2 linked regions of the Ovis aries genome follow. Each later gene encodes a partner of the first gene's protein in a complex. Links are inferred from orthologs where the notes say so. Each region holds a gene or a part of one and is shown on either strand. Other genes may lie near its edges.

What was found. The genes of interacting proteins can lie anywhere in the genome.
Region 2: the proteins of DISP1 (region 1) and SHH are in contact, whole or in part, in a cryo-EM structure (PDB 7E2I), measured with the Homo sapiens proteins. The link is inferred for Ovis aries from reciprocal best matches to the Homo sapiens genes DISP1 and SHH. Residues at the interface, in NP_001356523.1 of Homo sapiens: Lys242, Thr244, Gly245, Tyr246, Lys247, Ala248, Glu260, His265, Arg299, Phe336, Gly337, Asp338, Leu339, Cys340, Gln341, Arg342, Thr343, Glu459, Arg899, His904, Asp906; in NP_000184.1 of Homo sapiens: Pro49, Asn50, Val51, Thr55, Leu56, Gly57, Ala58, Arg68, Glu71, Phe73, Lys74, Leu76, Thr77, Pro78, Tyr80, Pro82, Arg96, Leu97, Gln100, Lys186.

What each region holds. Positions count from the first base shown.
Region 1 is NC_056065.1:25,739,875-25,744,555, forward strand, and holds part of DISP1 (protein dispatched homolog 1), read left to right. Parts: intron 1-855; coding exon 856-979; intron 980-1,806; coding exon 1,807-1,934; intron 1,935-2,294; coding exon 2,295-2,392; intron 2,393-4,681. UniProt on the Homo sapiens protein: Functions in hedgehog (Hh) signaling. Regulates the release and extracellular accumulation of cholesterol-modified hedgehog proteins and is hence required for effective production of the Hh signal. Synergizes with SCUBE2 to cause an increase in SHH secretion.
Region 2 is NC_056057.1:119,084,444-119,089,763, forward strand, and holds the start of SHH (sonic hedgehog protein), read right to left. Parts: upstream 3,426-5,320; 5' UTR 3,111-3,425; coding exon 2,802-3,110; exon of another isoform or gene 2,649-2,801; intron 2,101-2,648; exon of another isoform or gene 1,077-2,100; intron 1-1,076.

The DNA.
Region 1 (4,681 bases):
CATGTAGCTCACAGTCTAGTGGATAAGTTCATCATTGTTCTATGTCCAACTTTTTGTTTTAACTAAAAGAATGGTTAATAGGTTTATGGGGAGGTTTCAAGTTGGTTTGGTTATTCTTAAGACTTATAGGCTTTCCTGGTGGCTCAGCAATAAAGACCCCGTCTGCCAGTGCAGGAGATGCAGGTTTGTTCCTTGGGCCGGGAAGATCCCCTGGAGAAGGAAACGGCAACCCACTCCAGTATTCTTGCCTGAAGAATTCCATGGACAGAGGCAGCTGGCAGGCTGCAGTCCATAGGGTCACAAAGAGTTGGACATGACTTAGCATCTAAAACAACAATTCTTAAAGCTTTAGCTGAACCTGTTTATGGGCTGGGTTCTTTTTCAAGAAGTGATGGAGTGAAAGTAGGGAGAAAGAAATAACTGGAGAAACAAAAGTTCTGGAAGAGACTGCAAAGAGGATGGAGCCTCTGTTAAAATATATTTCTTTCCACTTAGAAAGTGTAGATTCAAGATCTTTTTCCTAGGCACAGATAGAGCAATGAAATATTACGTGTCAGAAATGGACATTATGCTCACTTTCAGGTGGTTAGATAGCATCACCGACTCCACAGACATGAATTTGAGCAAACTCCAGGAGATAGTGAAAGACAGGGAAGCCTAGCATACTGCAGTTCATGGAGTCACAAAGAGTAGCACCTGAGGAGCGACAGTTTATAATATCATTAGGTCTTTCATTGATAAATACCGGTACTAGGTCTGAAGTAGGAAGAATTAACTAATTGCTCCGTTAGGTAGTGAAAAAACTTCACTCTGCTCCTAAGAGGCTTTCTCTGTGCTCTCTCTCTGCTTTTGTAGTTACGCAGCCCTGATAGCAGACTGGCCTGTGGTTGTCCTGGGCATGTGCACGGTGTTCATCGTGGTCTGTGCCTTGGTTGGAGTATTAGTGCCAGAGCTTCCTGATTTCTCTGATCCACTGCTGGTAAGGAAAACTGAGCCAATAGAATCTGCTCGTCTATTTTATGTAGCCTTCCACCATCTCAAAAGAATAAGCATTTTAGGACACTTTATCTTATGTTATCTAGTACCCTCTCTTTTGCAACCTTCTCAAGCCATCAGTAAGTATAGTCACTTTCTGAAAGAGGGAAGACTTGTCTGTATTCTCAGGTTCTCAAAGGCAGTCAAGGAACTCGCTCACCTTCAAACATCTGGAAAGCTGTTTCTTGGTCTCCAGGTTAAGCTAAAAAGCTGTAAATTGGAGAATCTGCAGACTATAAAAACATTTTCACAAAATCTTTAAAACTAGAATGTCACCTCTTTTTTCCTGAGGAAGTTAAAGGAATTTCAGTGTTACTAAGAGAGCAGGGTCTGTTTTTAAGTACTGATAGATGTCCCTCGGGTATGGAATAGGGAGGAAAATATGAATGAGCATAATGATAACGATAAACTCTTTGTAAAACATGCATAATGTAATTTAATTTGACCATGATGTTTTATAACATAAAAATAAGTATTTACTAAATGCTAGGGATGCATATGGAAGAGAAGCTTCAGATAAGTTTTCTATCCTCTTTCCTGAGATATGTAACATACCAAAGAATCAGGCTGTTTTGTCACAGAAAATAGGTGATCATTATTATGTCAAATCATCTTGTTTTAATGCAGTTCACCTCTGGAGTAGCTGTGAAGAACGTATTTATTTTCTGTTGAAAGCTATCCATCACCTTGACATTGCCTTCCCAAGCTGTTATAACTATACTTAGCCTGAAATGAAGTACACTAATGGGAATTTGTAATATTTTGCCTTAGGGTTTTGAACCAAGAGGGACTGCAATAGGCCAGAGACTGGTCACATGGAATAACATGGTGAAAAATACAGGATACAAAGCAACATTAGCAAATTACCCCTTTAAATATGCAGATGAACAAGCCAAAAGGTAACCGTTTATTAACTTTTAGACAAAACATTGCTAATTAATTCCACTTATAAAAACTGCCTGAGCAAAACAATTACATCTAAAATGTGTGGCTCAAAATCTTTACCACTGAATGTGTTGAAATTGTCATTGTCTTTTAAGATTGTGTTGTCTGTTAGTGAAGGTTTGGGTTTGGGTTTTGTTTTCTTTTTTACCTTTTTCAGAAGTGAGAAAATTAATGGTGGTTGCTTATGCCCATCCATCCAACTTCATACCAAGCACTAAATAGGTCTTGACTTTGAGGCAGTATTGTTACCAGTAGGCTTCTCATCCTTGGAATGGTGAGGACTTGACTGAAGATCAAATTGTGTTCCATTTCAGCCATCGGGATGATAGGTGGTCAGACGATCATTATGAAAGAGAGAAGAGAGAAGTTGACTGGAACTTCCACAAGGACAGCTTTTTCTGTGACGTTCCAAGTGAGTGGCATCATAAATGACAAACCTCTCCGAGTTTCCTGGGATTGAACGTGACTGATAACCTATACTGTCCGGGTGTATGTGACTGATCAAACAGCTTTAGTGTTTCTGTCATGCTTCAAGAGATTTTGTTTAATTAACTTGTAATTTTACTTCTCTAGGTTAGTCAACCACTAATCTGAATTTATTTACCTATAATTAAAAAAAATAATGAGGGAAAAAGAAAAAAATAAGAAAGAGAGCATTGAGTTATAGCCAGTTTTAAGACAGACATAAATCTAATAAAATTACTGACCTTGCTCAATATTGCAAGTCATTTTAAAAAACTCCTTGTACATATTTTTAGATTGAACCCTGAAACAATCTACTGTCAAAACGCCTGTATTAATAGCCTTCTTGTGCCTGCCTTGTCATCAGGCATTAGTGGAAGAAAGACGAACAAATAAAGTCCAGAGGTTCAAAGCTTGCATGCCTCAGCGACCCAGCTCATATATGGATGAGATAAGTGAACTGAGTTAAGACAGCAGGAAGTGATGGTGACTGAAGAGTATATGGCAGAATATGGCCTTGAAAAAATGAGGGCCCAAATATTGTAAGAAATTCCCAGAGGCCAGGAATCTTGATTTCAATATGGCATCACAGATCTCTAAATGTTGGCAGCAAATTCACTAAACAAAATCTGCTGTAGTCTGTAGAGTCAGCCTGGTTCCTCTGTAGCTGCCAGGAAAGAAGAGTTCAGGGCCTCAGAGAAACATGTTTAACTTTGTATATCATGGATTAGCCCTCATGGTTACAAGTGAGGAATTGTGATAACTTCAATTTCTGATTAACTAAATATTAATATTGAAGCTCCTTTGGTTTCAGCTTTTTTTGTTGTTGCTGAAAATCCTTCTAAGATGTGTTTTTTTCTTATCTTCTTAGATCACTAGGGGACCTGATTGGGTCTTAGATGTTTCTTATATCTATTCAAACTTCAGGGTCTTTGTCTTGAAGACAGGAGTTTACTAAAGAAAACTTTGTGACCATTAATAAATGCTCATGTAATAAATTATTACTAAAGAAAACTTTGTGACCATTAATAAATGCTCATGTAATAAATATATTATTGTAATAAATAAATATAAATAAATTATTACATGAGCATTTATTAATGGTCACAAAGTTTTCTTTAGTAAATGCCTGTCTTCAAGACAAATGCTCATGTAATAAAGGACTTCCCTGGTGGCTCAGACGGTAAAGAGTCTGTCTACAATGCAGGAGACCCAGGTTCGATCCCTGGGTCGGGAAGATCCCCTGGAGAAGGAAATGGCAGTCCACTCCAGTACTATTGCCTGGAAAATCCCATGGACAGAGGAGCTTGGTAGGCTACAGTCCATGGGGTCGCAAAGAGTTGGACACGACTGAGCGACTTCACTCACTCACTCACTCATGTAATAAAGCTTTATTCATAAATTTGCAAATTGACTTTCTTTGTTCACACCATTTGGCATTTTCGATCGTATAAAATTAACCTACTTTGTTTCAGTTCACTTATGTTAATTTTTTAATGGCTGAGGGAGCAGAAACAGTACTTATTGAGCACCTGTTTTCCAGTATCTCATTTAATTCTCAACACGTACTTGAGAAAGTGTTGCTGTCTTTATTTTACAGATGAGGAACTGAAGCTCAGGGAAGCTGTTAGTTACCTAAGATCACCTAGCTAATAAATGATAGAAGCTGGTTACAACCCAGTTTTCACTCTAAAGACCACGTTCTTTCCAGGATATCACACAGCCTCCCTTGTTCGGAGATATAGTTTGTAACAGTATGATTCTCAAAATATTTTTTCTAGAACTCTGAGCACTCAGCAAGAATGAGGAGTATGTCTGTGATCCTTGACTTTTGTTAGTGCTTTAAAATTGATCGCTTGCCATCTTTGCTCTCTAGTTAGCTGCCACAGAGAACACCCTTATAATCCATTCTTGATATGCCTTGGTGCTTCATTCTTTGATTTCATATACCACTGCGGTGATATGTTGTGAAATTAAGAGGGAGGCATTCGGTTGATTTTCTGCCAAAAGTTCTTATGGATTGGTCTTCCTAATTACAGTTTGATCAGAACTAGATATGTTACATAACTGCTACAAATTTTAAGATGCAGTGAGTCGACAAAGGCTTTGAGCTAAAGCAATATTTAAAAAAAATTTTTTTTTACATTTTTCTCCTAGAATTTAATGAAAGACAGGATTCCCTACTGCTAATGAATTGCCCATGTGGTTTCCCAGTTTGAATTATTTCTGAATGCTGAGT
Region 2 (5,320 bases), on another chromosome or scaffold:
GTCTGCGCAGCCGCTCCGCGCCCCGGGGAGCCGAGCGGGGGCTGTCGCCGCCGACGGGCTTCCCCGGCGCGGGGGAGGGGTGCCCCAGCTTCACAAGGGTCCCCCCCCCAAGTCCCGCACGCGCCTCTCTCCACGCCTCCGCCCCCACTGCAGAAAACCAGGCCCCTCCCGTGGAACCCACCGCGGAGCGCCGCTCCCCGGGGGCCGCCACGCACCCCCCGGAAACCTGGCGGTCTCCACCGCCGCTCCCGGCCGGCCCCCGGCGGCCCCCTGCCCCCTCGGAGCCCCCGGCACCCACGGCCGGCCTGCGGGGAGAGCGCGTCGGTCTGCGCTCCCCCTCCCCGCCCCGAGTTAATATTAACAGGAGCGCCTGCGTTCCTGAACTGCTCTCAAAGTTCCACTGGGGACGATCTCGCCATGGTTGAGGGACTTGGGCGGCAGTCCCATTAGAGAGACAGGGACGCACAGAGACGGGGGAGGAGGGACACGCACCTGAGAACAGTCTGGGCGGCTATCTTAAGTGGGGGGCCCGCGGGGCGCAGGTGCCCGCTCCCCGCCTTCGCCGGCCCTGCCCTCCCCGCCCAGGTCTCCCGCCTTCCGCGCTTTAACTCTTAGGATGGGGACGCGGGAAGGACGCGGTGGCGGAGATCAAGGGGGCACCTCTCAGGCCGCCCCCCGGCCAGCCTCCCCATTTTCAGGGGGCGTTGGGGGGGTCCCGGCTACGATCCTGGCCCGCCCTGCCCCACCCCGCCCCCTCGCCGGCTGCCCCTCCCCCCTCCTTTTGTGTTGGGAACGGGAATAGCCACTGCCCAAGGAAAAAAAGTATTTGTTTTCGTTTCGTTCGTCTGAGGGAAGTTGACAGAAGGTCAGAAGTTCAAATGCTGCCGGAGCGCACGGCGGCCGGAGCGGCCCGGCGTCGGGCCGCGCGGCCGTGGGTCCCGGCGGGGGCGGCGAGGGGCCCGGCGGGGGCTCGGCCGGGCGCCCTGCCCCGGGAGGCGCCCCCGCCCGGGAACCGGCCTGCCCGCTCCCGCCCGGTGCCGCCCCCGCCAGCCTGGCCGTCGGAGCGCCGCCGGGAGCCCTTGGCCGAGCCCGCGCTCGGGCGCGTGGAGGGGCCGGCGGGAGGCCGCGGTCCAGCCCCGCGCGCACTGAAACCCGAGCCGCGGGATCGATAACCCGGGAGTAAGTGGAGCAGGGATGCGTCTGCCCGGGTGCGCGGCTCCGCGCGCTCTGCCCGGGTGGCGGGGCGATGAGGCCCGCGGCCCCTGCAGGGTGCGGGCCAGGGACCTCGCTCCCTCCCGCGCCGGCCCCGCGCGGAGCGCGGCGCACGCCGAGCCCTCTGTTTCGGGGACCTTCGGCGCCCCCCGCCCCCGCCGCTTTCTCCGGGCTCTCGCCCCTCTCCCCCGGCTCCGAGGGGTCCTGGGAAGGCCCCTTCCGTCCCGCGGGGGTCGAGCGTGGGCCGGGGGTAGGAGCCCCGCACGCGCCGGGCCCCCCGCGGCCTGCGCAGAGTTAACTGCGGCTCTCGCCGCTCCCGGCACCGGTGCGCGCGTCCGCACTCGCGGGCCAGATTTAAGGTGGTCGGGAGCAGATGCCAGCAAGTCGGGGAGAAGGACCTTCTCCCCCGCTCCCTCGCCGCCCTCTGCCCGTCAGCGGAAGCCCGCTTCCCCGCCGGGTCCTCGCCCTGCTCGGCTCCGCCGCAAGGCCGGGCAGTGGGCCGGGGAGCGCCGCGGCCCCAGAGGTGGCTCCCGGGTCGCTCCCGCCCCCAGCCTCCCCCGCACCAGCGCCCCGCCAGCGCCGCTCCGTCAGCGGCGGTGCGCTCCTGGCCCTAAAGGTAGGACTCGAATATTTTAATAGGGCAATAAAAAGGATGTTGACCTATATTCCTCAGGAAATCCATTTCTAGCTTCAGTCCTACGTGCGTGGAGTTGGCGGAAAGTCTCCCACTGGCGGGGAGATGGGCAGTCAGGAGTCTTCAGCGGAGGTAGGGAGGGCGAGAGGAATGCGTGTTTCGCTTTGGTTCGTCTCTCTAGCCCCCTCCCGCTGATACCGAGTCTCTCCTAATTCCTAGGCAAGCAGGTTGAAAACTAGCGTGATGCAATGCCAGTAAGTTCTAAGTCCCTCCCCTCAAGTACCGCGGGCTCGGGAGAATCAGAGGGCATCCTTAAAGAAATATCGATACATTCACACTCGGATGGGCACAACCGCCCGCGCCCGAGTGGCGGTGGAAGCTCTGTGATCCGGGCAGGGGCCAGCCCGGCTGCCTCTGGAACCCCCACCCTTTGTCAGCACTGCCTGTGGAGGGGCTACGGTGGGGTGGGGGCGACAGAGCGAGGGGAGCGGTGGGAAAAGCGGAGCAGCGAGGAGAAAGGAGAGGGAAAGCGCAGAGGCTGCACCTGCCCGCTGACCCCGACACCCCTTGACGCTGCCTCCTTGCCTCCTCCCTCGGTGCCCACTCCCAACTTGGGAAGGGCAGATGACCCCAAAGGGAAGGTCTCCCCAAGTTTCCAGCCAGAGCCAGGCAGGATGGAAAGGCCGTCCCAGCAGGATGCATGCGGTCAGGGGCTCCCGTGGACCGCATGTCCCGGCGTCCTTACCCCCCGCCCCCACCCGCAACTTGTCCATCTGGACCCTTCACCTCCATTCCCCTCCAGGAAGAGGAAGGCACCCGGAGGCCCGGCAGGTGGGTGGGGAAGGAGCGGGCAAAATCGCCTTTCTACCTGCCTGAAGAGCAAACAGACCGAACTGCATGGTTACACATAACCCCTTGAAAGCCACACAGTCCACGCCCCGCGCTGGGTTTCTACCTGAGTCATCAGCCGGTCCGCTCCAGTGTTTTCTTCATCCTTAAATATGATGTCGGGGTTGTAATTGGGGGTGAGTTCCTTAAATCGCTCTGAGTTTCTGGTGATCTTCCCCTCGTATCTTCCACTGGCCCCTAGCGTCTTCTCCGCCACGTTGGGGATAAACTGCTTGTAGGCTAAAGGGGTCAGCTTTTTGGGGTTCCGCCTCTTGCCAAATCCCCTGCCGGGTCCGCACGCCAGCCCCGAGCACATCAACAGCGAGGAGACCAGCAGCACCAGCAGACATCTCGCCAGCAGCAGCATCTCGCCCATGGAGCCCGGGGACCTGGCGGCCGGCGGCGCAGGTCCGAGTGCGCGAGGGTGCGGGTGTGCGAGTGTGCGCGCTCTGTCTCCCTCGCTCCGGCTGGCTGCTGGCGCCCGCGCGCCCTGCCTCGCTCTTTCTTTTCCTATATAACCTTGCCCGCCGCCGCCGCTGCGGGGGACTCGCCACCGATCCGCACCCAGACGGGGGCTGGGACGGCAGGCTGCTGGCCGCTGATAACGGAACGCATCGGAGTTGGGGCTCAAGACAGCCGGCAGAAGACAAAAAGAGTCTGATTTTAAATGGTAGCAAGCCTGAGAGCTTGTGCGAGAGGCTGTCTTCAGTACTATATTATAGCTGGCAGGGCGGATCTGATTGGCCGAAGCCGCACAAGCTTGTCTTCTGATGTTTAACCCTAAAAAAGACTCATTTTTCCCCCCTCTGTTGCCGCTGTGGCTTTATTTTTACCTGAAGGCTTCTAGTTAAGAGAGGAAAACATCTTCACCGAGACAAAGGTGAGAGGGAGGGAGGAAGCAGGCGGATGAGGATAACCTCAGTTACCCCTGCCCTGCACACACCTCCCATTCCCCCTTCCCTTCCTCCAGAATGGTAGATGCTTCAGTTAAAACCAACTTAAGTTTTTAAAGGACATCTAGACTCAGCGTCCCCCACCCCCAAGCTTCCATCACCAAACAAATAGTCTCTCAAATGTTTGTTGGGCAGAGCTGCCCAGGTCCTATTTAAATGTTTTCTCAGGGACTTTGTCATGCAGGCCAGGTCTCCCTGCAGTTGAAAGACAGGGGTGGGGGGGGGGGGCTCTGCTCCTCCTGAAGGTTCCAGTCACTACAGCTGGTCGGGACACACCTCGTGGTGCTGTTTGAGGAGCTTCTGACACCTTAGAACAACTTGAACCTGCTGCTCTTTATTGTGCTTTGGTTAATGCATTATTTTTAACGCCCCGAGAGTAGAATGGAGATGAGCTCAGGTGCAGAGTGAGCTGAGGGGATGGGCCAGCTGGCTGGGCCAGAGTGGGTCTGGGGGGCTGCACCCCAGCTCAGAGCAGGGGACGGTGCTGGTGCCTGTGTGGTGGGCGGAGGCCCACTGTGCTGGGGACGGGGTGGGGGCAGCGGTGAGTGGGCAAGGCTGTGCACACACCACCCCCACGACTGCATCGATCGGAGCAAAGTGCAGGCCAGGGATGAGGTGAATGTGGAATTCAGGCTCCTTGCACATCACACCGAGCCGGCTTTCCCTGGAGCTGGGCAAGCTGGTCCTCGTGCCCTGGGGGCTGCAGCCTGGGGTGGGGCAGGGCGATGGGGGCACACTGTCCTGGTCAGAGAGGGGCGTCCAGGAGTCGCTCAGCGCTCAGGGCCAGCAAAGCTGGAGCTCTCAGGTCCTGCATTTAAGGAACAAACTCAGTCTTGTTTCAACCAGAAAAAGAAAAGCACAGATTCTGCACCCCCCTCGCCTTTTGCAGAATATGCCCTCCTTCTGGGCCCTGCCCTATTGCTCAGACACAGTAATTGCTCCGAGTGGGGTGGGGGGCGGGGCTCTCCACGTGGAGGGGCCTGAGCAAGGCCTGGGGCTCACTCTGCAGTTAAGAGCTGTCGCTGGGCCCCAGCCACGGTCCGGGTGAGCTCCACGCAGACACGCTTTGCTGGGGGTGGCGTGGAAGGGGGGCATCGTCAGAGTCTGCAGTATGGGCCTCACACACACCCAGCATCACCGAGGCTCTGCCGTCCAGGAGCCCCTCCCCCCTCCATGCTGGTCTATGATTCGTGAGGCATCAACCCAACTTCCTCAGGGTCTCCCAGTGGGACAGAAGCAGAAGGGTCACACTGGCCTGGACCGCGGAGGTCTGCTCGGGGCGGTGGCCTTGCGCAGCTCAGTGTGGTCGTGACACGGCTGGAGGTGGGGGCTTGTCCTCAAGCCCCTGGGCCCTGGGGACACTCCAGCCTCCTGACCACCCTCCCCTAGACACTGAGTGGCGTCTCCCTCCCCTCCCCTTTTCCTCTCCTAGAAAGGCAAAAGGGCTGCAGCCCTGGGTCTCAGACCCCGCAGCCAGCCGGAAATCCAGGACCCATGTAGCCACCACGAGAGCAGGGGTGCTCCCCCAGAATCCCGCCAGGACCCCAGACCGGCCAGGCACCAGAGCGAGGCTGGCACTTGGGGAACCAAAGCCCGAGTTCCTCAGCTGCAGAGGGCTTGGAGACCTGGGGCC